4 linked regions of the Rhinolophus ferrumequinum genome follow. The protein of the gene in region 1 interacts with the protein of each later gene in a pairwise test. Links are inferred from orthologs where the notes say so. Each region holds a gene or a part of one and is shown on either strand. Other genes may lie near its edges. The genes, in order: SORBS3, CPNE2, VARS2 and TBC1 domain family member 22B.

Region 1 (8,424 bases):
CCGGCACCTGTGGGGAGGGGCCAGGAGCAGCAGCTCAGGCCCAGAAGGTTCTGCAGTAGGGAGGGAGGGATGGCTGCCAGGGCACAGTCATACCCCATGCTGAGGGCTTTGGAGCCAGCTTGACCCTTTTGCAGGAAGCCAGCGAGAGCTATCTTCCAACCCCTTCCCGCCCTCCCGTCCTTTCATCTTTGTGCTCCACACCTGTCCTGCAAGGTCCCCACCAACTAGGGGCCCACAGTCACCCTCTCTCTTGTTCACTCACCCGTGTCCCCCGGGAGGATGACCCTACGTGGGCTCGGAGGTGGCCAGGGATGAAGTCATCCAGGCTGAGCCCAGCTGGGAGGCTGCAGGGTGGGGCCTGCATGCTTGGGTCAAGGTCGGAGGACTCCGGGTGTGCCAGCTCCTCTGCAGGTCCTCTGTGGGGAAACAGGGAGGAAGGGAAAGCCTGGCTGGGCCTGGGTTGCCTGTACCCTCAGGGTGGTGGAGGAGGGGACAACTGTGGGAGAGGGTCAGGGCCAGCTGAGTGGGAGCTCCAGGACCCAGGAAACAGGCCACTGCGGGCACCCGCCTGCAGGCTGCCAGTGCCGGCTCCCAGAGGTACAATGGGCTGCTTGTTAGGCCCTGGGCAGGAGCTCCGGGTGGGAGTGGGGGAGGGGAGACCGGGCGAGGAGGAGGGGAGGCTGGCCAGGAGCAGACCTGCTGGACAAAGCCTCAGGCGGGCCTGCTGGCCAGCCCCTCTGGGGCTCTCACTGCACAGTCAGCCCGCTCCCCCATAGGGAAGGCAGAGGGAACTGGGGCAGCTGGCAGAGGAGGCCTGGGCACTCGGGACTTTGTTTCACTTCCCTCTGCCTCCTGCCCGTCCCTGTGTGAACATCCCGTCACCAGCAGGCACAGGGGTTCCTCAGGCCCAGCAAGAGGCCCTGGGCAACAGCACGGCTGCCCACCCGCTGCCCAGAAGGTCCAAGGATCCAGGGAGAGGGAGAGCGTGGGGGCGTTTCCAGGCAGCAGGAACCACTCCTTCTGAGCTCAGAGGAGTATCAGCTCCCTTTTTGGGCCTCTTTGGCTCAAACTGATGCCTCAGAGGGCTCAAGGTGCCAGTGAGGGGTGGGGGCAGAGAGCGAAGCAGTGGTTAAGAGCAATGGATTCGTGTGTGGAGGGGTGGTGCTGACACACACACACACCCCACTTTTTCCTACACCTCCAGGCTGTTTTTTCAACAGAGGGTCTTCCTGAAAGCAGCAAATCTGACTGATCAGCTGGGTTCTTTTGCCCCATGCAAGTCAGGCAGCCAGGAGATGGAGGCAGTGGGGCTGCCAACCAGGGCTTTGCCTCCCAGAGAGCGGTGGTAAGAAGCTGGTTGCTCCTCTCCTCTGCCGTTGCACTGAGCCAGAAGCAGAGTCAACCTTCGCCGCCTTCTGGGGCTCTACCAATTCTGGCATTTTTGTTTCCTTAGGCTTGTGTGTGCCTGTGGGGTCTGGGGGCTCACGGGAATGCAGCAAGGGCCTTGTGAAGTGCCATGTGTGTGTGTTGGAATGTAAGGGCAGTGCCGTGAATGGGACTTGAGGGGGTACCACGGTGTGGGGGCATGTGAATATCAAGGGGATTGTGGGTCCAGAGGAGTGTCAGCTATCAGTGTGGGGAGGGTGCAATCATACAAGCAGCACAAGAGTTATAGAGACCAGAGGGGATGCAGGTACAATAGAGGCTGTGGTTACCCAGCCCCTGAGCACGCTGGAGGGTATAGACAAGGCCATGGCAATTCCCTGTCTCTGGTCTGAGTGGGGATTCCTTCTGACCCTTGAAAGGCCTATTGGGGACACAGCTTTCCTGTGCCCACCCCTGGCTCTGGGGGGAGTAGAAGGCTGAGGCTAGAGGAGGGACAGTGCACCAGCTGGATTGAATTAGGACTCCTACCAAAAGCAAAACATGCAGACACACCCCAGTTCCTGAGGCTCTCTCTCCCCTTGCAGGGGAAACCGAGGCAGAGGAGAGTGGGAGGCCAGAGGGTCTAGGCCGGGAGCAGGCTGGTTCCTAGCACCACGCCCCTCCCTGCCCAGCTGACTGCTTAAGGCCAAGTTTCGAGGTCAGCACCAGTCTTTTCTACCCGTCAGCTGACCCAGACTCCTTCCCTGCCTCTATCTGTCCCACCCTGCTGTGCTCAGTGAGAACAGCCCACTAGCAGTAAGGAGAGGGCAGGAGGTTCCCTTACACCACTTGAGTTTTGGGGGTGGCTGATCCTTGGGGGCCCAGTCTGGCCCTCCCCAAGCTGCTCCTTGTGGCACACCCCCAAGAGACATGCAAGAGGGTGGTGGGGAAGGGCGGGCTACATTTTTCTCCCTGCAGCCCCGCCAGAGGAAATTGGTCCTGCACCTGGCAGAGGGCAGAGGGTGCCAGGAAATCTCGGGGGTCCTCCCAGAATTCACTCTGGCTGTCCTTCACCCCAGCAGCCAACTCTAAAAGGCTGGAAGAGGTAAAGTGGCTCTGCTGTGGTCAGGGACTCCTTCCCACCTGCAAGTACTGCCCTGGCTTTGGGGGCTCAGCCCTAGGTGTCTTCTCGGGTATTTTCCAGCTATGAGTCCACGTGGACAGGACAGGTTTTCTCCAATTTCACTTTTTTGTTTTGAGGGAGACTTCTCACCTCTTTCCACCCCCGAGTTTGGGGCGAGGACCCCAGGGGGCGGGCTCTGTGCCTTCCCTTCAGGCAGGTGCCTCCCTGACTGCGCCCCCGCCTCCTCTCCGCCCCCTCTTCTCCAGACACCTACCTTCCACGGCAAGCAGGTGGAGGGGACTGAGGACGCCCGGGAGGGCAGGAGCATCTCGGCCGGGCTCCTGCCTGGTGAGGCCGCGGCGGGCCCTCGGGGAGGGAGGGCAGGGAGCGGTCCGGGCTGTGCCGTCCACCCTCGTGACCGGGTCAGGACGGTCTCCGCGAGGCCGGGCGCCCGAGGAGGAAGAGGGATGGACGGGGCCGAGCGCGCGCAGGGAGGAAGGACTAGAGAGGCGGGCGGGCGGCGGTCAGCCTGCCTCCAATCTGGACTGTGAGCCGGGGGCTGGGGGGGCGGGGGCGAAGGGGCCTGCGGGGCGGGGGCTCGGGTCCGCAGCCCCAGCGAGCGAGTGGCCTCCGTCGGGGCGCGCCGCGAGGACGCTGTGGCCCCGGCCGAGGGGGCCGGGCCGGCCGCGCGGAGGCGCCGGGAGGGGCCGCCAAGGTCCCTGGGGAGCACGCTCTGGTTTCCCAGCTGCCTCCCCGGCCCCCACCGCCCGGCTGGCGTCGGGGCGGGCGCGGGGGGCGGGGAACGCCACTCAGAGTTTCCAGCGACATTTCCAGCGGGTGGGAAGGGAGCCGCTGCACGGCGGAGCCAGGACCGAGGGCACGAAGGATTAAAGAGCCGGGTCCAGCCAGCCACTGATACGGAGCCGGCAGCCCGGAGACGGGCCGCTCTGCAGACGGGCTGGTGCCGAGATAGGGCGCCCCAAAAGCGGAGGGGCCTAGCGGACCAAGGGAGGGGCCCGCCACCTCCCCCCGCACTTGGGAGAGAGATTTGGGGCCTGCGTAAGCGCGCGTCCGGGCGTGTGCAAACACACACACGCGCGCGCGGGCGCTGCCAAACCGGGCGATGCTCACACACGTGCAAGCCCCGCGGAGGACAGCCCCGGGAGGAAACCGGCCGAATGGAGCGGTCCCCCGGGCGTGGCGCGCCCCTGAAGAGGATGAGGGCGGCTCCCTTTGGCGGGGATGGGGTGACGGGGTCTTGGTGTTCCCACACACCGCATTTGTTTTGATCTCGCTGCTTTTCCGCTGTTCCCGCTGCTCTGACACCGGTCCCAGGAGCCCGCGCCCATTGGCTACCGACCCCTCTGGCCACCCATCCCTTCCCTCTCACCCCCAGGCCTCTGTGTACGCACAGAGCCTGTGATAGGAAGTGAGGGTGCTCAATGAATGTTCCCTGCTGATGGAAAGACTCGGGAGGGGAGTACTTTTAGTCCCTGGCTCGGTTGGGGAACGCCAAGCCCCCAAACAAACCAATAGCAAAGAGGTATTAGGCAATACCAGATCTATTCTGGGAGTGTTCACTTATAAATTACGAACATCTGAAAACATTTATTGCATAGGTACTGGGTGTAAGATTGGTGCCCTGAGGCCACCATGCACTTTAGAGTGTTTTCCAAGTACATTATTCAACTGAAAAGTTGAGAAGGAAGGGAATGGAGAAAAAAACTCCCTACCATCACTGATGCTATTAGCTTTATCTTTTCTCAATTCAGTGAAAAGGGCGACCTGGGTTGTGGTGAACCAGCGTGAAATAATATCACCAGTGAACAGCACAAAGAGGGGACGGACGTTTGGCTGAAGAGAAGCTGGAGAGAGAGAGAGGATGCTGGCTGGCCTCCACTGTCTGCAGGGCTGCATGTGGAAACAGGCCGGCTGAGCTACCACAAGTGGGACCATTGGGTGCACACGTGGAAGCAGATGGGAGGTTTCCAAGGAAGAGCTTTTAAATGATTACGGGGTTCTGAGTCTGGCCGTTGTGGGGCATCTTTGTAAAGGCACTTAGTGTACTGAGCAGGGAGCTCAATGAGATCCCCTCTAAGGCCCCTTCCAGGAATCTGTGATTCTCCCAGAACACTGTAGGGATGGGGAAGGGACGGTAGCTGCAGCACGGAGGGCTGGTGGCAGGGCATTTTCCTTCCTCCAAAGCTTGGGCACTTACTTCCCCACCCCTTGTCACCATCCTCTTCCCTGCCACAGAGACAAAAGATGTGCCCATTACCCTTGTCACCAGTTTTGTTCCCCACCTGTCACAGTCCTCACGACTAAGAAGGGACACATCGCGTTCGTGTTCTTCCTTGTTCTCCAAAGATGGTGACGCTGAAGTTCTTCCAACTCCAGGAATTCTGGTCATGCCCACTCTCGCCAGCAGCAAGCTTCTCTTATTCTCTAGGGCTCTGACCTGGACTCCAAGATAAATATTTAATGTAGAGGGTGCAGCTGAGCTGACCAAGGTCCCTACTTCCTGTTTCTCAAAGGAAAGTGGCAACCATGGGCAAGGAGCGGGGGACTGGTTACCAGTGTCATCTCTATGGGAATAGGGAATCCAGCAAACAGCTTTGCAGGAGCCACAGTAGGCCCCACTGGAGACCTGAGCTTTTCTCCAGAGCTGTTTTGAACCTCTGCCTGTCTACTGAGGTCTGAGCTCTGCTGGGCTCGTCACCTCTCAGCTCAGAGCCTGCTTTGCCCTGGCACCGGTGGGACTCGTTCTCCTTCCCAGAGTCTTAGGCTATGGGCTTGGCCTGAGGAGAGGCTATAACAGGGTCCCTCCACCATGTTCCCTTGGTGTCCCCCCAGCCTGATAGTATAGAGGATGAGAGATTGTATAGAGGTGGGAGCAGAGAGCATAAGGCCCCTTGACGGACATCTCCCTTTCTGCCCATAGTTAGGGAGCAGAGTCCCTCCTCTTTGAAAAGTGGGAGATTAAAGGGGAAACGTAGCAAAATCCAGAGATTTAGCCAAGAACCAGGTGTCTGATTTCTCAACTCCTTCCTCCAGCCTCAGCTCTACTTGCTGCTGGCCCAGACCGCTGGCTGGTGTGGTCAGGGAGAGCCTGTGGCTAGGGAAGGAGGTCCTAGGTGAGTGTTGTTGTTAACAACAGAGCAGACTCCTTTCATCCCGATGCCCTATCTTCCTGACTCCCTTATCTTCTAACAGGGCCCTCCCTCCCTGTGACTTCCCCATCTCTGGCACTGCCTTTTGCCAGGGGCCACCTCTGCCTTCTCAGAGCCACCTGAGCCATAGTAAACACAGTTACATAACTGCTCTATTTTCCTGGTTATCTGATCCTGGTCGGCAGTACGCCCCACCCCCACCTCCTTTTGATGTGAGGACTACACCCCAAGGCACCCACGTCAACAGAGAGGTCTGTCCACAACCACCACCCTAAGGCGGGATTAGCCAAGAGACTACCAATAGATGTGGCTCTTCCCCAGGACGGGGAGGAGAGGGTGGCTGTTCCTACAGGAATGCAGGTCACTCTGAAAACCAACCTCTGTCCCCCAGAGGAATGGTGAATGGAAATAGCACTTAAGTAGCTTTATATTGTGAGCAGGGTGAACAGAGAATTCAGTTTTATTTCTCAAGTGGGAAAAAGGAAGCAAGGGATCCCAGAAGACATACAGCTGAACTCTCCCGTCTTGGGGAGTGTCTTTATCTGTCGTGGGGAGCCTCACATTCCAATGTCACTCTCAGATCTACCTTGAGCAGCCAAGGGGTACCCTGGCTCTGTGCCTCAGCGCCCCCACACTAGACAAAGGAGGGGCATATGCTATTCCTTCTCTCCTCCTGCACAGGGATAGACTCTGTATACGCTATAGGTAGGCTTTGAGCAGGTTTTTATTTGTGCTCCCAGAGATTGTTCTCTTCCTGCCAGGGGAACTGAGTGAGCGGAGCAGAATGGATTAGCAAAGAAAGCACTGTCCCTTTAGAGGAGTTGAGACTTCTCTAGAGAGAAAGACCACAGTGAGCCGACAGAGAGCAAGTGAAACAATAGTACAAATCTGGACCATGTTTCATCCCCTGGGTTTCATCCTCCTGGGGTTTTCTCTTGATTCGAGCTCCTGCTAATGCCAAATTCTTCTGATGGCCGTCTATGCCAAAACCTCATGGGGACAGAAGCAACAGAAGAGGAACACAAAAGATCCACTAGGAGACTTAGAAGACCCTCCTAAGCTGACAACAGCATGACCTGGGACATCTGGAAACCAAGATTTTCGGTATAGTCACTGTAAAAGTAAGGGATCTCTGTGATGAAAAAATACCCAGTCCAGGTGGAGTAGGGGCCGGGCAGCCAGGCTGAGGGAGCGGATCCCCGTGGGAAGAGAGAATGCGGCTTGCGGGCCTGCCTCTCACAAACGTTTCCACACATACACGTGACGTAACTAGGATCTATGGGGTCGGGCCTCTCAGCGTCAATCACATGGAAATCCCAAAGGTGTGAGAGAACGTGGCCTTTTGTCCAAGTATCTAGTCTACCTTCAAGGAAGCCTTTTCACTAACGTCACAGCCACTCTTCGCTGGCTCTCTCCCTCCCTGTAGAGATGAGCAAACTAGCACAAGGCGCAGCTGGGGTGTCTTTGAGAAGAACTGAGCTGGATGGACCTCTTTTAGTTCTCAGGAAAGAAAGAGAGAGCAAGTGCTTGTCAGCTCTTTAGAAAGCAGATTTTTATAAGGCAAGGATAAATAAGCGATGACCTCAGAGGGAAAACTCGGCCAAGTTAACTCAGCCACGAAAGGCACACAGACCAGGAGCTGGAAAACTAGGTCTGCATCACCCTTCTTCCCTAGTGCAGATAACTGAGCCGAGGACAACGAGAGCGGGGAGTCGTGGGCCAGTGGACACCGCGAGGTCGTGCTCTGGCCTCCGAACAAAGAATAACCTTGTCTTCCCACCTCCTTGAATTCTATGATGAGCCTGCTGATCGCAGCAACATGAAAGACACCGCTACCTCATGTACCACTCAGTTATTAATCCACTGCAGCCAAATGAAACAGACTTTCTTTCTAAAGCCTACAAGTCATGATACAAAAACAAAAAGACCACGCAATGACATATAGCAGCCAAGAAAGTGGGGATTAAATGTAGGTGGAGTGAGAGGTAAATGTGAATTGGCACTTGAGTTCCTAATTTCCAGGCTTAAAACAAAACTGTCTTTCCACAACGCTGGAAATAAAGAGTAAATATTACCTCATTTTACTGAAGGTTTAACTGAGGTGTAAGGACACAGTTAAGTTGGGACGCTATTTATTGGGAAAGGTCCTAAAATGTACACTCAGCTTATTTGAAATTAGAAATCTGGACTCGCTTTCCAGCCTATAAATTGGCCCTTGATGTCACTGCCCTCAGAGTCAAACTGCCTTACTCAGGCCCTGGATTTAGACTTTCTACCTCTGCTGCCATAACCGATGGAATTCCCTCACTGACACATTTGCCGCTCCAAGGGCCCTGGGCACTTGCCCAGTGGAAGTTATTTTTCCTTGTGCATCCATGGCACCTCACGATTTTTCTACTTTTCAGAGGAAATCAAGAGGCTGGCCTGACACTTCCTTTTCTTAAGAGTCCAACTCCACATTCAACGCCTCTCTGGCTTCTTCAGCTTCTTCTAAGATGGACTCCATCCATGTCTATTATTAGGATCGCATGCAGAGTTATTAAATTACTGATAGTTATTTTTATCTTTTGTGAGGATGACTTTCTTCCTTTCCTTCCAGTAGCGGCCTCTGCCGGAAAAGTCACAGGAGGAGCTGGCACTTAAGTGTGAGTTAGTGGCGGTGGGCAGGGTGCCAGGAGAGGCCGGGGCAAGGCAGTGGGTTCTGAGTGGGAGGAACAGAAACACCACTGCAGCCACGCTGCTGGTTTCAAACGAAAAGGAGGAACA
Region 2 (7,644 bases), on another chromosome or scaffold:
GAGGGGATGAGCAAAATTAGGCAAGGCACAAGGACCTACTTTCTCCAGCTACAGAGACGACCTTATGGTTCATGTCCACTCCCTCAGGGAGGGTTGTGACTCCGCTGTCGCCTGCCTTGCATGGTTATAGTTTTGGAGCTCCACCATCCATGACCTCCTCTAGACCCACAGCCACAATCCCAGTAACAATCGTCCCCCATTTCACAAATGAGAAAACTGCAGCCCAGTGAGGAACAAGACTTGCCCAAGGTCACACAGTGAGTATTTAGTGGAGCTCAGATTCCGACCCTGGAGCAAGAAGGGAAGGAGGATGTTGGGGTGGTCCCAGCTGGGGATTTAACTCAGTGGATCTATGCATTCCTCAGAGAGTAGAGCCCTGGGAAAGATGAAAGGGCTGTGTGCCCTTCCAGGCCCTGCTTCTGCCCCAGCCCTACCCCTGCATGGCCACAGCCAGGCCTGAGGGTGGTGGCCCCAGCTGGAGCTGGACACGCCCTTCGGACACAGCTGGAGCTCCCTGGAAAAGACCTTACGTTGGCTGGTTTGGGTTGGGCTGGTGATCTTCCGGGGACAGCTGGTCTTCCTCCCACCCAGCCAGACACCTCATGAAGCACCCCATGTGTCTCTCAGGCCCCAGAGCTGGTGTCGTCCTTCACCTTTGGCCTTTGGAAGCCACACTTTTTTGTTCATCCCACACAAGCCACTGTCCTGCCTGGCTGCCCAGAAATCAACCTTTGCCCTGAGGAGAAGGCGACAAAAGAGGCTTCCCTAGAGAACAAAGGCCAACTGGGGTCCCCGGTTGAGTCACCTAGGTTAGAAGTGTCCATCTCCTGGGCCAGGGCCTTCGTCCTCACCCTCCCGCACCAATCTCCAGTACAAGGTTGGGGCTGATGCAGGGGTTGAGGGTGGGGCCTGGGCATCCTGACCCTGGAAGGGGGCATCCTTCTGTTGGAGTAAGTGAAACCTTAGAACTTAAAAATGGCAATAACAACACACTAGCCCTGGTGTCTAGCCATGCCTGGTGCCATGCTAGCCACATTCGGGTCTCACTGAATTCGCACAATCATCCATGAAGCAGGTATGAAATCTATCCTTCCATCTTACAGAGGAGGAAACTGAGGCCCAGAGGAATGAGTGATTTCACCCAGGCAGTAATTGGAGTGGCTAGGAGTCAAACGGGGCCCAGACTCTATGTCTGAGGTTTGATACTAGAGTCAGCCACACCCACCTCTAACAGTGAAGTCCTGAAGGGGATATCTCCATATCAACCCCCCCTGGCAGATGGTGTTTTCCAAAATGGCCACCACAGTATCTCCCATCCCACCTGCTCTTTCTACAATGTGACAGTTAACACTCTTCTCACAGAGAGGCGGGGTCTCTGGAGTGGAGACTACAGCAGAAGTGACATTATGTGACTTGCAAAGTGAGGTCCTTTAAAATATAATGCTTCCACCTCATGCCCTGGGATGCTCACTCTGGGAACCCAGCTGCCATGCTACATGGATGCCCAGGCCACATGGAACGGTCATGGGTAGGTGTTCCAGCTGAGGTCCCAGCTGACAGCCGGCACCGATTCCAGACGTATGTGTGAGAAAGTCTTCTAGATAACTCCAGCCTCTGTCAGGGTCTGATGCAACTGTTTGAGAAATCCTGAGCAAGAACTGCCCTAGCTGAGCCCAGCTGGCCCCCAGAACTATGAGAAATAATAGGTTTGGGGTGATGTGTGTTCTATAACTGGATCACCCAGGGCCTGGTACACAGAAGGTGCTCCTTCAAGTGTCTTAAATTTACAAGCACACTGAAGTGTATAGGCAGCCCTGGTTATTCTGATCTGTTTGTCCAGACAGCCTGGACTGTGCAAATAAACCCCCAGATGGCAGGCGCTTCTCTCTCTCTCTCTCTCTCTCTCTCTCTCTCTCTCTCTCTCTCTCTCTTATATAGGCCTATTTAGGGAAATGCAGGCCTCCCGCTTGTGCAGAGAGGTCTCTCCCAGGGTGAGGAAAGACATTTTGCAGTAGCAGCCTTACGTCTTGTGTGGGTTGAGGACAGAGTGTAGAATCAACTGATGGAACCCTTGACCTTATCGACTGTGACCTCTGGGCTCTCCTGATCCCTGACTCTGTTTTAGGACAGTTTTATTGAGGTGTAATTCACATACTATAACGTTCTCCCCTTTAAAGTATACAAGTCAGTGGTTTTGAGAATATCTACAGTTTTGTACAACCATCACTACAATAATTGTAGAATATTTTTAATCACCCCCCTCTCCAAAGAAACCCCGTACCGACGGCAATCACTCCCCATTCTCTCCTCCAGCTCCAAGCAACCACTAATCTGCTTTCGATCTCTATGGATTTGGCTAGTCGGGACATTTTACATAAATGGAATCACACAATACATGGTCTTTTGTGACTGGCTTCTTTCACTTAGCGTGATGTCTTAAAAGTTCATCTATATTGTATGGACAGCAGACCTTTCTATGGCTGAATAATATGCCATTGTATGGATAGACTACATTTTGTTTATCCATTCATTTATTGAGGAACATTCGGGTTGTTTTCACTTTTGGGCTATCCTGAATCATGCTGCAATGAACATTCCTGCACAAGTTTTTGTGTGGACACGTTTCTATTTCCCTTGGGTAGATACCTATGAGTGAACCCTGGCCTTTGTATTCTGTCCCCTTGGCCAGCGATCTTATTCCCCTGGGCAGGTCCAAATACCTCATCCTCAGGTCTCCTAGAAGAAGCCTCACTGACCACACTGGCTGAGTTGGTCTTGGTGCCACCCTGCCTCCAACCTTTGCATTTTTTATCCTGTAATATCATTGCCTGTGTCATGGTCTTGCCCCAGGGGGAGGTGAGCAAGTTGAGGGGAGGGACTCCTGCTCTGGAGCAAATTGAGGAGAGGGATTCTGCACCCCCCAACACACACACACACACACACACACACACACACACACACATCAATCAAGCACCACTTCCTGAAGGAAGTGGGGCTGCAGCTGGGTCTAAAAAAAACGCCATAGATTGATTGGCTTGCCCCACAGCCAGGCTGCGGACTTTGAGGGCTTTGGGTGGAAGAAAGATACAGAGTTTGGAGAAAGGAAGGACGGATGGTAGACACTAGGGCAGAGAACAAAGCTCAGAGCCCTGGGGTTTTTTGGTGGCCACCCCTCTAAGGCTGCAAAATGCCTGTGACTCAGATGTGGAGGGAGGTTGCCGGCTGCAGTGTGAATCTCCCAGTTAACCCTCACCTGCCTGAAATGGAAGTCCCACAACCCAAGCGCTGAGCCTTAACTCTCAGAGTCCCCCAGGGCCAAAGGCTGTGGATATGGCCTTGAGATCTTCCGGACAACTCCGTCCCCCACAATCTGGTTAAATGAGGCTAGGTTGTCTGAAGCACTGAATTTGCTGGGGGAGGGGGCACATAAATACCTTTGAGTGGCCTGCAGTAAGAGCGCCCAGCGATAGACGCATTTCTTAACAATTGGTTCCTCTCCTAGGGAAAGACCTTTGCAAAAGGAGGAGTTTCAGCTCCAAGGCCTTACGGACGCATCTACTTGCCCTCTCGCTGACTAGCCCCAAGCACTGTTCAAATTGTCTTTATCTTATCGTCTTTGTCAGTGAAATATGTGTAATTTTCCCAGCCGCTGGTGACAAGAAAATACCGAGCTCTTGCACTATCGGTAAAAAAAAAAGAGAGCGAGAGAGAACACTGCCGTCCTGGTGTTGCCCAGTACGGCCCAGAACCAAGCCCTGTAGAGCATCCCCGAGGGCGCAGCGCTGAGCCGGTCACCCCTTGGAGTCGAGGCCGCGGGCGGCGTCCTGGGGCCCCAGAGGCCCTGGCGGAGCCTACCCCACGGTTCCCGCGTCGGTGGCCCTGAGCGCACCGTGCTAGGAACTCGGAGGTGCCTGCGGCTCCGGCGAAGCCAGCCTGGGGAGGGTGCGAACCAGCGGCGTTCCGATCGGAGGAGTCCCAGCCTGGCACCATCGGACTCTTGGAATCTGGCCTCGAACGTTCGGACCCTAGGACTTAGGTCTCGAACATTCGGGCGCCCCAGGCGCTGAAAGCCGGGAGTGCCAGGGCGCGCCAGCCGCGGGCTAGGAGCCGCGGGCAGCGGGCGGGACAGCGCCCCCGCCCCGCCCGTTAGGAGCGCTCGCCCCTCCAGGAAGCGCGGCCTTGCCTCCTCACTTCCCTCCCCACACCCGCGCCCCCCCTCGGCCGGGGGGAGGAGCCCGAGCCGCCGCCACCGCCCGCCGCCTGGCCCGGGAGGAGGACCGGACCCTGAGCGGCTGGGAGCGCACGCGAGCTGGCCATGGCCGCGCGGGCAGCGCCCTGAGCCCGTCCCGCGCCCGCGGGCCCGGCCGAGCAGGGGAGAGCCCGGGAATGCCCCGGCGGCCCGGAGCGCGGGTAGCGGCAGCCACGCCGTGAGGGCGGCGGCACCCCCGGGACCCGCGGTGAGTGGGGCCCGGGCAGGCCGGGGCGGGAGAGGTGCCCTGGCGCGAATGCTCAAGTTCGGCCTTGGGGTTCGGCTTCTGCGGGGGTGGAAGAAAGCTGGGTTCCGCCTCGGGGGACTGTGGCACCCCAAGCCCCCGCCACCCGCGCACACCCAGACTCCGGCGTTTGGGTGACTCAGCTCGGACCCCGCCACTCGGGGGCGCTCGGGCTTCACCCGGACTGCGGAGGGTAGGTAGCGGGCAGGGTGCGGGAGGTAGGTAGCGCCCTCGGGAATCTGAATCCAGCTGTTTTAGGAACCTTCCTACCTTCCTGAGGAGCCTGCGGGCGTCCGGAAGGTGGAGTCCCCGCCACGATCGCAGCTGCTGAAGACTTGAGGTCGGGCTGGCTCCTGACAGGCGTGGGCCCCTCTCCTTGTCCCCATACCCAGCTCCACCCCCAAACCCACCCCCAACCCCCACCTCAGGGAACTGCCCCGGAAGCGGGGACGGAGAGAGGGAGTGGAGCTGGGCAGCTTCCCAGAAGTCAGAGTGTGTTTGCAAACTAGTTTTTTTCACCAAAGCTGCCTGGCACGGCACCTGTGTGTTTGGGGGTGGGGGGCATTTAGAGAGAGAGGAAAAGGCTCTTTCTTCCTGCCCCCCCTTCCTTCGCAGCGCTGCTTCTCTGAAAATGTAGGGGTCTTACTCTCCCCTTCTCTTCCCATACCGTCCTCCAGACTCCCTTCCCCACCTCCCAGTTCCACAAGCCCTCCTTTGGGGAAGGAACTCCTTCAAAGGGGGCTGTGATTTGCCCAGGGTCACCAGTGGTAGTGGAACCCGGGGCTCTGGTAGCCAGTTGGGGGTTCATCTTGCTGCCTGTGACCCCCCAGCCCTGTTATGTGCTGGGGGAGTGACAAGGGCAAGAGATCCGGGAGAATCATCTGAGCGGCCCTTTGTTTTGTCTGCACTTAGTTTTTCCTCACCTCGGGGTGTCGGCTGTTACCAAGGGGGGGGGGCTTTTTCTGTTTGTTGGGGCACCCACAGCTTCAGTAATTGGGGGGAGGAGCCTAGTTGTAACCTTGGGCCTGCAGCCTGTATGTGGCCCACCCCATAGGGAGCTTTGGGAGACCTTGGTCTGAACACCCAGCCAGCAGTGCCGGGCCCTGCCTTCCCCACTGATACCCTGCCTCTGAGCTGTGGTCCTCATCTGTAAAATGGGCCTGTGCACCTGGAGGCTAGGAGCAAACAGAAAGGAGAGGTTTTATTGCAATCCCTCTGGCACCAAGCCCAGTGACCCAGTGAGTGCTGGCACTGCCCCAAGCAGGCAGGCGACATAGCTGGTTGGCATGGGAGGGGGTCACCCAGGCAAGTTTCTTCATGGAAAGAACCTGGGGCGAAGAATGTGGACACATGGGTTTTTCTGACCCTCTGCCACTTCCTGTCTGTGTGCCTGTCACCTCTTGGGCTTTGGGGTTTTTCCATCCATAAAATGAAGCAAAGTATGACACCATCCAGTTTACAGAGCTGCTGGGAGGCTGGAACCAGGGGACCCGGGGGACACGTGTTCTGCAAAGTGGGATGCACTTCATGAGCTGGAAGTAAGGTGTCTCTGGTAATGTTTCAAGAGACCTCCCTCCCAGAGACCATGAGAATGAAAAACTCAAGGACTTAAGAAGAGGGTCAGGAGAGAACCGCAGTTTCTGTGTCCTAAAGTAGTGAGAACAATACTCTATACCTCTATAATCTTTTAGGGTACTTGTGTATTTCTTTAAAGGTACGTGGTTGTGAGAATTAAATTAGCTGACAAAGGGTTCCTGTGCCAGCACTGTGACTGGTCCATGATAAGTGCTCAGTACCCACGACAAATCAGTGTCATTGTTCATGGGAAGAAGATTAGTACCCCTGATGTGGGTAACTGCATTCAGGCTTCCTGCTGGAATTTTTCTCAGGCCAGCCTGCTCTTCCCTCTCTGCCTCCTCTGTGGAGAGATGAACCTCAGAATCCAAATGTCCGACTCCTGGGCTTTTCCAGGGGCAGGGTCCTGAGCAGAGAGGAGAACCCCAGGGGGAACGGTAGCTCAGTGGGTGTTCCCATTTCCCCTCGTTAGAGCCCTCCCAGGGCTCTAAGGAGTGACAGAAAACACCAGTATTCTTTTAAGAATTCCCCCACCTTTGTCTGAGCAGGGAGAGTTGTTACCAGGTAAGGCCCCCTCCTGAGAGGGGGGGGGGGGGGGGGGCTCCCCCCATTGTCTAGTCTGCCAGATAGGGGTCTCCCACTCCCTTCCGCTCATCCTTACAGGGGCTGCTGAGTCAGGGGCAATCACTTCAGGAGTCCAGCCCCTCTGCTTTGGAGAATATGGCCTCAGAAAGGGGGTGGGATTCCCTCCCCTCCTGCCCAGCCCCCTGCAGGACATCGTGGGCTCCTTGAGAGCTGGGAGGCTGGGTCACTAGGATCTTGGCAGGCAGCTGCGGCAGAAGACAACAATCTTATCCCACCCGCACTGTCCAAAAGGCAATACGGGATCCTGAGGGGAGGCTTCCTGAGGCCGCACCATTCCTGAGGGCTAAGCCAGGGTCCGAGGCGCCTCCTGGCTCCCAGCCCAGTGTCTCCTCCCCTCACTGGGCCACCCAGCCTCTACTCCGTCAAGTGCACTGTGCTGTTCATCCCTGGAGCATGTTTGCACTAGGCCTGTCCATACTTCTTCCTCCAGGGTCTGAGATGACACGAGCCACTAATTCCTCACTCACTAGCAAATCCCCTTACTTAATTTTTCTCGAGACATTACAGCTCTACAGCCATTTATTCCTTGACCTGTCAGCTGATTATCTGTCCTCCTCCCCAAAGAGTGTCAGCTCCATGAGCCAGTGAGGACAGTGTCCCTCGTGTTCACGACTCTTGCCCTGCACTTAGATAGGCGCAAGTAAATGTCAGGTCGATGACTGAATCGCCCCTCATTGTTGCCTCCTGTCAAATGGGTCTGTGAGGTTGGGTGATGGAGTCATGAGCTTGCCCTTTGGGGTCTTTGGAGGGAACCCTGTCTCCCCATGCCGAGTGCTGGAAGGCCATCAGAGGGCAGTGGACTCGCTAATGGAGGAGGGCTAAGTGCTGACCCGGGGACCAGGAAAAGTGTGTGGCTGGGAGAAGGTGGGATCACCTGGCACTGAAGGACTGGAGGCTGGGGGAGGCGGAGATGGCAGCTGCTGCCCTGGGT
Region 3 (7,388 bases), on another chromosome or scaffold:
GCCTCACCTCAATATCCGAGATGGCGGATCTTAAAGCACATGACCAGTTGACGAGCTGCCGGCCCCGGTACAATAACCCTGCCTTGTGGAGTCGCACGAATGCTTCGGTCACAGCCACTGCGGAGCCCTAGAATGGCCTGTGTGTCCACATCCAACAGTCCCTTCTCAGCCCCTCACCCCCCTGGGGACCCGGGCACTCCCATCCTGCCACCCCAGCACACACAGCAACCCGCCTCCCTGCACAGATCTCTAACACCTCCCCAACACCCACAGAACCAGCCGTGGAACTCTCACAGCATCCATAGTGAAACGCTCTCGGTCCCAGTCCAGGGAGGCCCCTAGGGCTCGCAGCTGCTCACAGATCTCTCCACCTTTCCTGTGCCGAGAGACTTTTGTCAGCAAACGTGTCGTGCACCAACAATGTACCAGGCCAGTGACACCCCAGCAATGCTGGGGCTGGAGTGAGTATGGCACTGATCTAGCCTCCAGAAGCCAATGGAGACAGACTCATGAACCCAGTATGGAACCTTCTATGACTAAAAGAAGTATAAAGGGGGTGGCCAGCTACTATGAGCTGCACCCTCCACAGTTACATTGAAAACAACTATTTGACTTGGACCTGATGGGTCCTGGAAAAACACACTTAAAAAACAAAAGCATAAAGTTCACAGTAACAGAGGAAGGGGCAGCCGATTCATGGGAAATCTACAGAAACTGTACAGAGAAGATGGCATGTAGTAACACACCTAAATGAGGGTAATTTCAAGTAGATGGAAGGTGGGAAGGGGTGAGTTAGAGAGAATGGGAAAATGAGATAAGTGATAAGTGGGGGTGGGAGGGAAGTGTGTGTGTGTGTGTGTGTGTGTGTCTGCACATACACACATATATAGACACACATCCTCATGTATCACATACACACACACACAGCTTGGCGACCCCACCAAATGCTAAGAGGCTCCAGAGCTTAAGTCTCTGGAAGTTAGAGAAATTAGGGCTGGATGGGAAGAGTGACTACGAGTTAGAAGCGTGACTAGGAAACAAGGACCCAAACCTGCGATCTCAGCCCCTTCATATGTCCGTCATACTCACTCCTCCTTCCACTTCCACACCTCCCTGAGGAAATCTTCCCGGCTCAGATCATGTCTCCTCACTCCTCGTTCCTTCCACAGTTGTTTCTCCACCACAGCCTACAGTAAGATTAGGGGGCAAATAAACAAAGAATCAGGTCGCTTTGGAGGAAGAAAACTCACCCAAGAAAAGGACAAGTGGCAAAAGACATACTTGGGTAGCAATTCCTGCATGATCTGAGCCCGGGACCCACAGCACCTGATCTCCACGCATCCGGTGCCTGTGACAGAAATGCCCTCACACGAATCCGACCTTACATGTTTACCCTCCCTCCTTCCCCTCAAGAACCCAGGCAGCCGCATCCCCTCACCAGCGCACGAGAGCATCCTGGATGGCCACGGTCAGTGCGTGCCCGATATGCAGGGAGCCAGTGACGTTAGGAGGGGGGATACACATGGAAAAGGTCTCCCCTGTGGCCTGGGGCAGCCTGGTCTAGAAGGAAGGAGCACAGTCAAAGGGCAAGAGAAGACTGGATGTTACCTGGAGGAATAGTACCCTCTGGTGTCCCCACAGCAGTTCTGCAGGGCAGAACTGTCCAGCAAATAACAGGGAAAGGGAAACCTGCCAAGAGAATGTTCTGGAGAGCCCAGGGGCAGGAGACAAGCTCTCCAATGTGGCTGTGAGCTCCAGACTCAGGCTCAGTTGCACCCACCAATCTCATGGGCCAATCTGTCCTGGGGACTGTTCAGTACCCCTCCCTGCCAGGCACTAACCTGATATTCCGGTTTAAAGAAGCCCTCTCGTACCCACCAAGGGTACCAGGCAGCCTCAACATACTGGGGGCTGTATGCAGGAGGCAGTGGCCCGGAGACATCTGTGGAGGCAGAGCAGAGCTCCACTAATTCAACTTTGTTCCCCGACTGCATTTCAGCAGACCAAATGGGAAACGAAAATGTGAGCGAAAAGGCCTTCAAGTTTCCTAGTTACCTTTCTTTTCACCAAGTTCCGTGGGGATTTCATACAACACTATTTCTTTAGGAGTCCAGGCCTTACTGGATTCTGCAGGTGACTACGGGGAGGAGACACAAGGAGGAATGCAGTTCCCAGTATACCCCAGGCATCTGGGATCCAGCCAGTCTCTCCTCCAGCCCTTCTCCATCCCCCCACCAAGTTTCTCAGACCCAAGGGCAAGTTGTGCTCTAACCTTGCTCTTCCAGGCTAATCCATCCTCCAGCGCCTCCTGCTTCTCCCGCAGGCGCTTCTGTTTGGCTTCGCGGTTCCTCCGGGAGATGGGGGAACCATGGGGCTCTGACTGTGTAGAGAGTGGATGGGACTTGGGGAGGCCCCGTGAGGACCTCAGCCCCCAGAGTGAGTGTCGGAAGGAGGCCGGAGGCAAATGAGGCATCAGGAGTGCTTGGAACGGGGCCAAGATCTGTTCCCGACAGACAAAGCACTTTAGGATACGGGGGCGTGGGAGGGTCACATCCCCTGAAGTCACACCCTATTCCTTACTCTCTGCCGCCTACTAGATCTGGTCTGTTATTTTAAGTATCTAGCTCTTCCCACACAACCTTTCCTCCATGTGGACTAGAGTGCGTGGTGTCCACAGTAACAGGATCCTGGAGCCGCAAGAAACAGGGCTCTTCTGGGGAAGACTTAATTTCTGGCCCTCAACCTATGAATGTGCGACGTGGGAGTGACCGCCGGCACACAGGAGTGTAAAGGACTCGGTATTGGGGAGGTGACCGACAGCGCACCCGAGAGCCGGCAAGAGTCCCGCCAGTCACCGCGATCTCGGCCTGCCCAGACGCCGCCCGCGCTGCCCCCAGACCCGCGCGGCCCGGCCTTCCCACGCGTCCCACCGTGGGGGCCCAGGCTCGCCAGCGCCTCCCACCCCGCACCCCGGAGGCCGCCCTGGCGCGCGCTCACCGGGCGAGCCCTCCGCTACCCCAGGGCGCCCAGCGGCGGCGGCAGCGGCTGCAGCACCGGATGGGACTCCAGCAACCGACCCCGGAACCCGACCGCGCGGCGCCGGGAGGCAGGGCCCCGGCCCGGCGCATGCGCGAGGGCTGCTCGGCCCTACCCCCTTCCCGTGCCAGCGCGTCGGCAGCGGGAAGCTGCAGCTCGGTGGGGAGGCGTCCGGGGCTGCGAGGCTCATTTTCACAACTTTATTAAACAATTAGAGTCCCCAGGTGTGAGTTAAAAAACCCTAAGTTCCGGAGCCGCGCCCGCCTCCCGCCCCGCCCGGTCCTAGTCCGCGCTCTCAGGAGCTGTGCTTCTGTCGCTTCCAGAAACGCTTGACATCACTGTGCCCAGCAGGCGTCACCACCATGAGCCGCTTGGCCGAGTTCTCGAACACCAGCACGCCCAGCTCCCGCGCATGGGCCAACAGCAGCTCAAAGTCCACTTGCGACAGGAACTGGTTATACAGGACACCTGGGGTCCGCAGGAAGGGAGAGGTGGGGAGAGAGAAGGCCAGAACGTGAGGCGCTGAGCCTTTCTGTGGCAGCCTCAGGGCAGTGGGCTGGCCTTGTCACCCACCACCATTTAAAAACGAATCCTCTATGCTTGTCTCTTCCAGGGCTCATCTGAACACTAGTGTGATCCAACCATATTCAGGAAGGCAATAAAATACAGTAAGAAAACCCACTGCTCACCAAACCTAGAGAAATTACTGTGAATTATCCCTCCCAATTTCCCTCTTCTTGCTAAATCCAAATTGCAGTGATTTGAGACATTTTATTTACTACCACCGACTCACCCCAAAATAAAAAGTATCTTGCCAGCTTTGCTCTCCCAGCTCATACAGCAAACAAAAAGTAAATAAAATGATCACGACTGAATTGTCCTTCCTCTGGCCAACGACCAACAACCGACCATCAGAAGCCACTCACCCTCAGTGAAGCGGAGTCTGTCCCTTTCCAGCTCCCACAGCCGGATCTGGTCCGTGATAGTGGGCGGCAGCACAGGTGTCTGCAGGGGCAAGGCATGGCTGTAAGATCCTGGAAGACTGCACGAACAACCGCAGCCCTCCACGCATTCCCCAGATTTGGTTGTTCCTTTCTCTTTTCCATCACTTCATCACCAGGTGCCAGGGGCTGTCAGCCTCCCACAGCTTGGTACCTGTTTGTACCTGTTTAAGCATCACTGGGTGGGCCCTTGTCCTTAGGAAATGGATGATCTAGAAAACAGACAAGAATGCAATCAAAGACTCGAATAAGAGGGCAGGAAAGCCACTTTGGCCGTCACCCGATATCACGGGAGCATCCACTTACTGTTTAAAAACTCATAGGTACATGACTATTGTCAGCCCATTCCTTACTCAGCTGTTGTCCCAAGTTACTGTTCCCACTGGTCATGTCTGCTATTCCTTCTCTGGCACATCTGCCCTTTGCGTAGTCTCTTTTGTTTCTCTTTAAAATAGCAGCACTTATTGTGTGGCAGGCTCTGAGCTAAATGTTTTACTGCTATTCTCACACTGAATCCTCCCAACAACCCGGTGAGATGAAAATTCATTGTTTCCCTTTTCCAGCTGAAGAAACTACAGCTGAGAGAAATGAAGCAAGTAGGCTCTTTATGCATCTAGGAAGTGGCGGTGCCAAGACACAAATCCAGAGCTACACCTCCTCCCTCCATGTTCTTCCCCCCTCGCGTCTGCCTGTTCCCACACCTTGACACCTCCTGTGCCTTGTCTGCTCAGCCATCTCCCCACACCTTAATGTCAGACCTGGTGCTAGCCTTCCATACGCTGACCCCTGTGCCCCACAGCCCAGTGCAGCCTGCCTTCCTGCCACCCCCTTCCCCAGTGAGAATACCTGCTGGGCTGTAATGCCACTGGCGATGGCCTGCTGCACACTCTCCCGGGTCACCTGCGCCACCACCATGTTGGGGAAGCGATAGAGCATCTCCGAGAAGAGGGCGATGAGGGCGATCTGCAACTCTGACTCTGGCCCAGGGACAGGAAGAGGGGACGAGGGGGCTGACCCCATGCCCAGGGACAGGAAGAGGGGACGAGGGGGCTGACCCCATGCCCAGGGACAGGAAGAGGGGACGAGGGGGCTGACCCCATGCCCAGGGACAGGAAGAGGGGACGAGGGGGCTGACCCAGGCCCAGGGACAGGAAGAGGGGACGAGGGGGCTGACCCAGGCCCAGGGACAGGAAGAGGGGACGAGGGGGCTGACCCAGGCCCAGGGACAGGAAGAGGGGACGAGGGGGCTGACCCAGGCCCAGGGACAGGAAGAGGGGACGAGGGGACTGACCCAGGCCCAGGGACAGGAAGAGGGGACGAGGGGGCTGACCCAGGCCCAGGGACAGGAAGAGGGGACGAGGGGGCTGACCCCAGGCCCAGGGACAGGAAGAGGGGACGAGGGGGCTGACCCCAGGCCCAGGGACAGGAAGAGGGGACGAGGGGGCTGACCCAGGCCCAGGGACAGGAAGAGGGGACGAGGGGGCTGACCCCAGGCCCAGGGACAGGAAGAGGGGACGAGGAGGCTGACCCCAGGCCCAGGGACAGGAAGAGGGGACGAGGGGGCTGACCCCAGGCCCAGGGACAGGAAGAGGGGACGAGGGGGCTGACCCCAGGCCCAGGGACAGGAAGAGGGGACGAGGGGGCTGACCCCAGGCCCAGGGACAGGAAGAGGGGACGAGGGGGCTGACCCCAGGCCCAGGGACAGGAAGAGGGGACGAGGGGGCTGACCCAGGCCCAGGGACAGGAAGAGGGGACGAGGGGGCTGACCCCAGGCCCAGGGACAGGAAGAGGGGACGAGGGGGCTGACCCCATGCCCAGGGACAGGAAGAGGGGACGAGGAGACTGACCCCATGCCCAGGGACAGGAAGAGGAGACGAGGGGGCTGACCCCATACCCAGACTCCCTGGATCCCTTCCTTCAAGTGTGATGAGACATGTCAGAAAAGATAAAGTACCCAGTAATCTGAACAAAAACTGGCATTCCCTCCCGCTCCCTTCCCCTGGTGCTAGCCTTCCATAACCTGCTCGCAACCTGTTCTCACAACCCACCCCCAACCTGCTCTCCCAGGGGCCCTCTGCTGCCTCACCCGTGTAGGCATACAGTCGGTAATTGGTTTCCACGACAATGAAGCCTGGCTGATGCGCAGTGCCCCCAGCCCCAGAAACACCTGACGAGAGATTGATGGCCAGGCGGGTGGGGTAGTAACGCCGAGATTTCCTCTGAAAGGATAGGAGAGAAAGGCAGAGGGCTCCCTCTCAAGTGTCACCGCCCGACATCATCCTTCCTAAGACATCAGATCCCTCCCAGTGCAGAACCTCAACTCCCCACTTCTCTCCCCCAAGGGACCCAGGTATTCAGTCCTGGCAACCGCTTCCCGCTGCCTCCTGAAACCCCACACCTTTCTAAAGGCCAAGGCCCATACCACCCTGCCTCTTCCCTAGAAGCCATGTATTTGGGTGCTCATACCTTCCTCTGGAAAACAAGCCCAAACTCACGAAGATGTTGCAGGAAGTTCAACAAAGAATCACTCATCCCTTCCACAGAATAATCCTGGGGAAGAGAGGTAGCAGCTGGGGTCCAAACACATCCCATGTCCCTCTCCCAAACCACAAGCTCGTTCCGTCTTCCCACCTCTGGCTGTTCCTTCTTACTTCACTCTATTGCCCCATAGCCCCATTGCCCTCCCCATCTCGCTCCCCTTCGGCCCACCCACCCGACCCCCCAGCTCCAGCCCCTGCTTACCTTGCCTAGAGTAGAGAAGCTGAGCTGGAAGAGGAAGGAGAGGATCTCCACTAGGTCCATGCCCCGACTCTAGGGAGGAATGGGCACAGACAAGGGGACGGGATGGGAGGGAGAAAATCAGGGAGCAGTCTGTAGGCAGTAATCTCTCGGTGTGTCCTGAGAAGAGCAGAGCACACCCACAAGCAGACGCTGCACTCCTCACCTGGGCTGTCTGTAGATACTGCAACATAAAGTACCAGAGCTGGGCAGGGGTGTCCAGCAGCAGGAACTGGAAGCCAGCAGAGGTAATGCAGGGAGGCTCTCCGGGCTCGGTACTAGACACGTGGAGAGGGACAATGGGACAGGTGTGCACAGAATGGCCACCAGCCCCACCGACCGCTCACGTCTGCTCTTGGTTTATCTCTCGCTGTACTCCACTCAGCTGTCCTTCTTCAACGCCCTCCAATCCTGACCCGCCTGGACACTCAGTTTGGCAGCGACCCAAGGAGATGGCAAAGCCGGGAGCTGTTGTGCCTCGGGCTTCCTCACCTCTTCATGAGCCCAGCCTGGCTGAGGAGCTGAGCCAAGTCCTGGCTGACAGCTGCACTGGGGGAGCCCACCATGAAGTGC
Region 4 (7,888 bases), on another chromosome or scaffold:
GACAACTATTAAGATTTGGTCTCCTAGCAACTTTGAAGTTGATAATGTAGTGCTGTTGGCTATAATCACTACGCTGTGCGTAAGATCTCCAGGACTGACTTATCTATTAGCTGCAAGTTTCCGAAGCCTGATTCTTAACCACATGGTACATATTGCCTCCCATCTTCCTGGGCATCCACACAAGGACCATGTGATGCATTAAGTACATAGGGCTCTTATGGACGCATATGACTGAGATATCATTAAAAAGATGTTTAATTCCACCAAGTTACCGTATGACCCAGCCATTCCACTCCTACAGATACTCAAAAGAATGGAAAACATACATCCACACAAAAACCTTCACATGAATTTCATAGCAGTATTCATAATAGCCAAAAAGTGGAAACAATGTAAATGTCCATCAACTAACGAATGGATAAACAAAATGAGGTACAACCATATATTATTTAGCCATAATAAGGAATAAAATAGTGATACGAATGAGCCTTGAAAACATCATGTTTAATAAAAGAATCCAGAAAAGGCCTCATATCACAGTACTCCATTTATAAGAAATGTCCAGAAGGTAAATCCATAGAAACAGGAAGATTAGTGGTTTCCAGGGGCTGAGGATGGTGGGGAGGGATGAAGGGTGACTACCAATGGATATGAGGTTTCTTTTTGGGGTGACAAAAATGTACTGAAATTAGTGGAGATGGTTGTACAAAACATCATACTCTAGATGCATACACTAAACACCACTGAATAGTGGGTGAATTTTTATGGTATGTGAATTACATCTCAATAAAGCGGTTGTTTTTTAAAAAAACTGTTTAATTCATTGTGAACTTAGGCTATTTTACTAAGTAAAATTCCTATTTGTTTGTCATTAAGGTTGCTGGATAACGATCAAAGCAACTGAAAGTAACCTGAGATTGCTTTGAATTTTTACCTTTCAGTTCGCAAAGAAAAGTAAACTAGTGTCACTTTTAGGTTGCAAGGGGCCTAAACACAGTTGTCTATGTCTTTCCCCACCCAGGAGAAAGTGTTTCTTCACTAAAACAGAAAGAGTACAAGTGCAAAAATTATATTCTTGAGAAAATGCCCTAACGTTTTCCTTAAATCAAAGCACTTACGATCTAAAACTAGTTGTCCCCATAACCAGGGGATCCTGGAGGCTTCCCTGCTAAAAACACATAACTAAACAATACTTCCTCTCAACAAGCAAGGTATAAAAACTACTGTCAATCATGGCAACACTTTGATGTCTCAAGATAAACAATGAACATAAATACCCAGCACCAGGGTAAGGATCTGAGTAAAGGTTTATTTATTTGCTTTAAGAATAATAGTAGTATTAAGAATAATTAGTAGTAAGAATAATAGTAGTATTAAGAATAATAGTAGTAAGAATAATTAGTAAGAATATACTAATTACTAGTATATAATGAGCAACCATAATGTACTAAATAAATACTGTCCTTGGTTCTTTACAAATAGGATGTTAAATTAAGTCCTCACAGTAACCCTGAGGAAAGTATTTTTATCCTCATTTCATAGATCAGGAAATTGAAGCCTCGAGAAATTGAGCAAACCATTTGTCCTTAATCACACAGGTAAAAGGGTCCAAATAATAACCCAAGTCTTTCTGAACTGAAATGATCTCTCCTCTATCCCTCTATATTCCTCTTCAAAATGAAAAAGGAAGCCAGAAACTTGAGAAAACTGAAAAGACTCCTCTTTCTATCTTGCAAAAATAGTGCCTTGAAAAAAGGTGACTGCTCCTATAGTCCAAAATAGGAAACACACAAAACGAAAGATTGTTAATAACAACTAGCACTCAGCAGGCACAAAAGACCGTGCCATGTCCCACATCTCATCTATTGCTTCCTGATTTAACAGTTCTCCCATTGATTCTGATTATAACCTTAGGATGTCAACATTTAATGATCTCACTATGGAAAACCCCAGAGAACAACAGTTAGTGAGACTGGAGAGCTCACTAGACCAGGAAGGAAAAGGAATCAGTTGGCAGGAAGTGGTGCTTATCTAAAAACATAGAAGTCATTAGCACTGACATTAACACTGTAATTCCACAGCACTTTCATCTGAAGCTATCTCTGCATTCCCTTGCATTATTTTAATACTGTGTCACTAGTAGCTGAGTCCCACCATTCTCCATATGTCTGATAGGATCCTAAATAAAATAAGTCTGCTATATAGCCACCATTGACCCTTTCTCTCTTGCTATTGGAAAAAAAAAAAAAAAAGGTCACAAGTTCAAAGGATTATCCCAGAAAGAAAAGACCCCAATCAATGAGGAAAGGTAGCACGTGGGGGAACCCACATGAATTTCATCACCAAGCAGACTATGGCTGTCAGAAATCTTAAATTCACGACGGAACCTTCACTCCTCCTTATACATCTCAGGACTCTGCCCAAAACAAATTGAAACTGTAAACCAACAGCAGATGGAAGGATGTACAATTGTTAAGGGTCTCAACATACATCAAAAAGGAAAAAAAAAGTAGCTTAGAAGGTCTGCTCTCCAACCCATCAACTGAACAACGAAAAAATTTAGTAGAACGATACAACGCAGGAGGGTAAAGGGTTACTTGGGGTTGAATAAATCCTTAGAAAAGATTAAAGAAATAACCTCAATTCTTGGGTCACCCTGTAATAATTCCTAATGGGAAAAGGCCAACTGAAGATGAAGTAAGGTCAGGCCTGAGACTTTTCCTCATTTCTCCTGTCCCCCTGCAGAGGGTCCCAAGCTCCCAGCAGAACCTTGCTGGAATCCAGGAAAAAGGTTCCTACGTGCAGAGCTGGAGGAGCAGGGGAAGGGGCCATCCTTGTCCAAACAACCACCTGTGTGTGGGGGAGACAACCCCCCCCCCAAGAGAGAGTTCTCTTTAACGTGAGAAGCAGTTCCAGGGCTGACCCTCCTAATCCAGGACGGACACAGGCTACTCATCCCACTCCAGGGTCTTTTACGCCCGGACTCCGGCCACCGTCTGGCTGAGGGCAGCCCCTCCAGAGCCCTCCACCCCCAGACCCGGGGCTGCTCCCACAACCAGCCGTCCCCAAACCCTGCTGCCTGCGCCTCATCCTGACAGCTTCCCTGCCGCCACCAGGCAGCCCCAGCTCCCCCAGCCCACGTTGCCCAAACCAGCCCGCCGGGGTCGGCGGAGCTCCAGGCCCGCGAGATTTAGGGCTTCGGATCCGGAAGGGTTTGGTCCAATCCCCTCTTCCTCCTCTCAGCTCCTGGGCTCACCTCCCCGGCAGCTTGGCGCTCCTCTTCCAAAACTGCTTGCTGTTCTCGGCAGCCATTGCTCTGGCCCGGGGAAGGCCTTGTAGGCGGGCCAGGGGGTACTCGGCGAGATGCCCCCAGGACCCCACAATCGGAGGGCCAACCCAGGCCACTTCCCCCGCTGCCGGTCACCCGCTCCTAGGTGCTGGGACCGCCATCTTGGATATGGGCACCTCCCCACCCAGCGCCGCTGCCATTGGTGGACTGCCAGGCCGTGGTCGGACGAACCAATCAGGAGCCGGAATCCTGCAAGCCGCTGAAGCCGAACGGTGACGTCAGGGGCTGGGCGCACAGGTGGACCGGGAAGGCGGAGCTCGGACCCGCAGGGAGGCGGGACTGAAGGTTCCTTAACCTGGAAGAAGCAGGTGAAGGACCTATGGGAAGAGGAAAGGGTACAGTTTTCTTTGGAGGGAATGAGGTTCTGGAGTCTAATATTTTTGGGGAAGAGAAAGCATATGTATTTATTTATATACGTAAATCTTGACCTAAAAATGAGGTCCCATGTGTTATTTGCAGCCCATTTTAAAATCTCCCACCCAGCTCAGTGACACTGGTTATTACCCTCCGTTTCCCTTTCGGTTCGGACCCCGATATATATATATATATTTTAATCTGTGAAGGAAGATCAATACGGTTGGATAGCGTATGGTTGCTGACTGTTCAACACGTGAGTAACGGTTGGTTCATGAGAATCTTCTTCTCCTCTGTTCATTGAACACTATTGAAGGACCTGTGCTGTGGGTGAAGTTCAAATGATCTAATCCAGGGGTGTCCAAACTTTTTTCAACGGTTTTCACCAAGGGCCATATGCAGTAAAATACACACACAGCCGGGCCACTCACTCGAGGTGAAGTACGTATTGCCTCACCTGGTTTATTTAAGTAAACTAAATATATTTTTGGAATTTGTTGCGGGCCAATTAACAATGGATCCTGGGCCACACTTGGCCCGTGGGCCGCAGTTTGGACACCCCTGAATCCCTGTTTCATCTAATAACTGTCACTTTCTGACCAGAACCCAGATGCTGACAAAGTATTCATCCAATTCAGACCAAGTAATGTTTCTTGCGAGGACGCATGAATATATCTCCATGACGTGAATCACAAAGAGTAAGGATATAAACCCAAACAGACTTAATTTCTCTTATTAATCTATTATCAGTTTTTCACCCTTGACTTTATTTTCAATCTAGTTTTAAATCCAGAATGAGATTTAATATTAGCATTTTGAATCCTTTGAATGTCTCGTCAGTGTTTTTTGCTCTTTTTCAGTTTCTGTGGCTGTACACCAGTGATGAGGGGCGTGGGCAGAAAGCACACACCAGTCAGAATAGTTTCCATCCCAACAAAGGACTGTTGAGGTGGCTTGTTTACTGCTACCACATGTCTTTTCACATATTGGAGAATACTTAAAGGATTCCTTGTCTAAAGGACATTTTTTATATGCCTTCCAGTGGCCTCTTTCTACATAGATATTACCCCCATTTTGAAGCTTCTTTTGCCCCCTAATTTCACAATCATGGGATTGTGAAAAGAGCTGTTTTTACTTTCTCTGGACCTTTTGTGCTTTTATAGATTTTCATCTTATCTTGTCTCACCTTTATGAGCATTTAATCCATCAAACAAAAGCACCTCTTATCTGTTTATTCTCATCTTTTAAACATTTTAGCTGCCTTTCTTTGGCTGTTTTTCTTTTTTTTTTCCTTAGGATACAGTGACCAGCACTGCACACTGAGCTCCAAGAGGGGTTTCCTGAGGTTTTGCTGAAGCTGATGTTTTGTCTTTATTCTGGACAGCCAGAACTTTTGCTGCCATTTTGGACTTTATAAAAGCTGATGTCTTGAAGAAATGATCTACAGTGACTTCTAGATCCTTTCTTCAGTGGATACTGGCAATTCAAAGTCATTATCTTAAAGGTATCATCAGAGTTATTTCTCCCTATAGGAGCTGTCCTACCCTTGTCCATGTGGCAAGTCACCTGTCTCTTTCCAGCCTATTCACAGAGCTTCAGAAATGTTCCAGAAGAGCTCCCTATTAACTTGCTATTTCACATGTGGCAAGCAGAGTATAGTTTGTGTACTTAGAAATGTCTCAAAGTGTTCCTTTTTTCTTCATTGTTTATTAAATGTTAAATAACCCTGATTCCAGGGGATACTGTTAACACCGTTCTACCCAAAGGAGCCCTGTTATCCCTATTCTTGCTTTTCTACATCTAAGCCAGTTTCCCATCCAAGACTTTAAAAATTCACTCCAGTTGTCTGGTGATAACTTATTAAATAGTCTTTATCAGGGAAGTTGAGATGGTTGGGACGTTTCTCACCACCACCACCACCATGACCACCCAAATCTAAACCAACCAACATCCTTACAGCAGCCTCCTATTAAGCCTCCCGCTTCTACTCCTGCCCTCTTAGAGTGTATTCCCTCCACAGCAGCCGGAGAGAGCCTTTTAAAATGTCAGTCAGACATCACTCCTCTGCTCAATATCTTGAAATGGCTCCATCACACTTGACATAACACCTAAGCTCCTTAAAGACCTTGCATGATTTGGTCCCACTCTCTTCCTTGCTTAATCTGCTCCAACCACACTTATTGGCGTTTTTGATGTTCCTTGAACAATCCAAGCATGTTCCTATCTCAAGGCCTTTGCATTAGCAATTTCCTCTGTTTGGAATTCACTTTTCCCAAGTATCTAGATGACTTGCTCCTTCATTTCATTCAGGTACATTCCCACATGTCTTCAATTTAGGGAGGCCTTCCCTGACCATCATCTTATTTAAGATTTATTTAGCAGGCTCCATCACTCTAGTTTTCTTTAAAGTACTATCACTGCCTACTATGTTACTTACTTATTTTGTTGTCCATCTCCATCCTCCAGAATGTACACTTCACTAAGGCAGGGATTTTGTCTGTTTTGTTCTGTGCTATAACCCCAGCATCTAGAAGAGTGCTTGGCACGTGGTAGGTGGTTAACTGAGAGATTAAAGACTCTAAACTATTGTTGTCTTTTGGTTCTATGTTGTTCGTACACATTTTTTGTTGGAAAAGATGATAGAAAACATTTTCTAAACCTCATTAGGATGCTTCCACTTTACCAAAGATTCCGTATGTTTGCCTGTACTCTTGGTTGAAGAACAGTCTTCCTTTCTTGGGAAAGGTTGTCCTCTTCAAACCCTTTTGCAGCTTCAAAGGAATGAACTGATACCTAGAATGATACGGGAAGGAAGCTGCCCATCTGTCCAAGAGATCAGCTGCATCAACCCTGTCCATCAAAGGGGAGGTAACTGTGGCAGCCAGATTAATTACCCTTACACCAAATTTTGCCCCATTACAGGTATATATCATTATTTTGAGGTTCCCAAGGGATCCTTAGGGCACTTTTGATGGAGGCTATAGTGGCAGACACTCGCTGGTCCACTAGACCAGTGCTTCTCATGCTTTAATGTACATGTGAACCACCTGGAGATCATGTGAAAAGCCTAGATGCTGATTCAGTAGGTCTGAGGTGGGGCCTACGGTGATGCGTTTCTCACCAGCTCCCAGGTGACACTGAAGCTGCTAATCTGAGGGCCTCACCTTGTAGATCTTCTGTTACCAGGACAGTGTGGCCTGCGATCCTTGAATTTATCTCAAGGTTTGATTATCTTGAAACTTTAAGTAGAAGGCTCTCAATGTGGTCTGCCTGCAAGTTTTTACTTTTCATTCCTTAACTTGATAGTCATTCAAAGGAGAGTAAAACAACGTAGATTAGGGCCAAGTAGAGTTAAGGGAATGAGCTATGCATGGGTTGAATGTGGACTCAAAAAAGGTGGGTATATCCCAATCCTTAGAGAAGGTTCTATGGAAGAGATAACCCTGAGACATGTAAGAGAGAGAGGAGAAGAGAGAGGAGAGGGGAGGGGAAGAGAGGGGAGGAGAGGGGAGAGGAGAGAGGAGAGGAAGAACAATAGAGAGGAAATTCCAGAGCAGTATTTCCATGGGGAACATAGAAATTGAGAAAAAAAAGCCTTTGGACTTCATTACCAACAGAACACGGGCAGACTTTAACCTCAGCCAGGGAGTGGAGTGGACCCTGTCATGAGAGGAAGGGTTAAGAAGTTAGAGCAAGAAGCAGCCCTCACAATGCACTGTCGAATGTTGGACCACCATAGGGGTGGTAAGGCCAAGCTGGGATGTAAGAGCAAGAGAGCTTTTTTGGTACCTAAGCAACCACTAGAAAGAGCCAAATGAGATGGATCGCTTGTGTGATAGAAGGCAAAGGGATAAGCATAAAGACTGAAGAAGCAAACGGTTATTAGAGTTGAGAGAGGAAGGAGAGAGTTGTTAGAGTTGGGGGGAGGGAAGATTGTGAATTTCTTTCCTAAGAATTTACTTTAAGAAAATAAGTCACGGGGGGCGAAGCTCTGCGTGCAAAGATGTTCCCTGCTTTGTAAGCAATAAAAATAAGGGAGAATGAAAAGAACATAAAGGTGTAAACATGAGGAGGGTGTTACACAAGTTATGCTGTATGGTTTGTAAACCTAAACCATGCCATGCCATTAAAATGTGCAAATTCGAATGCTACCATAGCACAACAAAAAAGCTTATGAACTGATGT

Evidence for each region.
Region 2: the proteins of SORBS3 (region 1) and CPNE2 interact in binary tests that used the Homo sapiens proteins (3 or more experiments, as listed by UniProt). The two-hybrid records come from large-scale screens. The link is inferred for Rhinolophus ferrumequinum from reciprocal best matches to the Homo sapiens genes SORBS3 and CPNE2.
Region 3: the proteins of SORBS3 (region 1) and VARS2 interact in binary tests that used the Homo sapiens proteins (3 or more experiments, as listed by UniProt). The two-hybrid records come from large-scale screens. The link is inferred for Rhinolophus ferrumequinum from reciprocal best matches to the Homo sapiens genes SORBS3 and VARS2.
Region 4: the proteins of SORBS3 (region 1) and TBC1 domain family member 22B interact in binary tests that used the Homo sapiens proteins (3 or more experiments, as listed by UniProt). The link is inferred for Rhinolophus ferrumequinum from reciprocal best matches to the Homo sapiens genes SORBS3 and TBC1D22B.

The regions. Positions count from the first base shown.
Region 1 is NC_046301.1:43,963,311-43,971,734, forward strand, and holds the start of SORBS3 (vinexin), read right to left. Parts: upstream 3,057-8,424; 5' UTR 2,763-3,056; intron 417-2,762; 5' UTR 365-416; coding exon 263-364; intron 8-262; coding exon 1-7. UniProt on the Homo sapiens protein: Vinexin alpha isoform promotes up-regulation of actin stress fiber formation. Vinexin beta isoform plays a role in cell spreading and enhances the activation of JNK/SAPK in response to EGF stimulation by using its third SH3 domain.
Region 2 is NC_046298.1:9,807,471-9,815,114, forward strand, and holds the start of CPNE2 (copine-2), read left to right. Parts: upstream 1-4,256; 5' UTR 4,257-4,457; intron 4,458-7,644.
Region 3 is NC_046286.1:1,473,978-1,481,365, reverse strand, and holds the start of VARS2 (valine--tRNA ligase, mitochondrial), read right to left. Parts: upstream 3,121-7,388; 5' UTR 2,998-3,120; intron 2,895-2,997; exon of another isoform or gene 2,501-2,894; 5' UTR 2,474-2,500; coding exon 2,273-2,473; intron 2,138-2,272; coding exon 2,056-2,137; intron 1,943-2,055; coding exon 1,842-1,942; intron 1,561-1,841; coding exon 1,439-1,560; intron 1,349-1,438; coding exon 1,282-1,348; intron 1,188-1,281; coding exon 1,090-1,187; intron 377-1,089; coding exon 295-376; intron 128-294; coding exon 8-127; intron 1-7. Other genes in the region: GTF2H4 (general transcription factor IIH subunit 4), read right to left, coding at 3,332-3,504, 3,963-4,041, 4,202-4,249, 4,884-5,014, 6,124-6,256, 6,504-6,587, 6,780-6,848, 6,982-7,093 and 1 more. UniProt on the Homo sapiens protein: Catalyzes the attachment of valine to tRNA(Val) in a two-step reaction: valine is first activated by ATP to form Val-AMP and then transferred to the acceptor end of tRNA(Val).
Region 4 is NC_046286.1:7,331,230-7,339,117, reverse strand, and holds the start of TBC1 domain family member 22B, read right to left. Parts: upstream 3,421-7,888; 5' UTR 3,313-3,420; coding exon 3,257-3,312; intron 1-3,256. UniProt on the Homo sapiens protein: May act as a GTPase-activating protein for Rab family protein(s).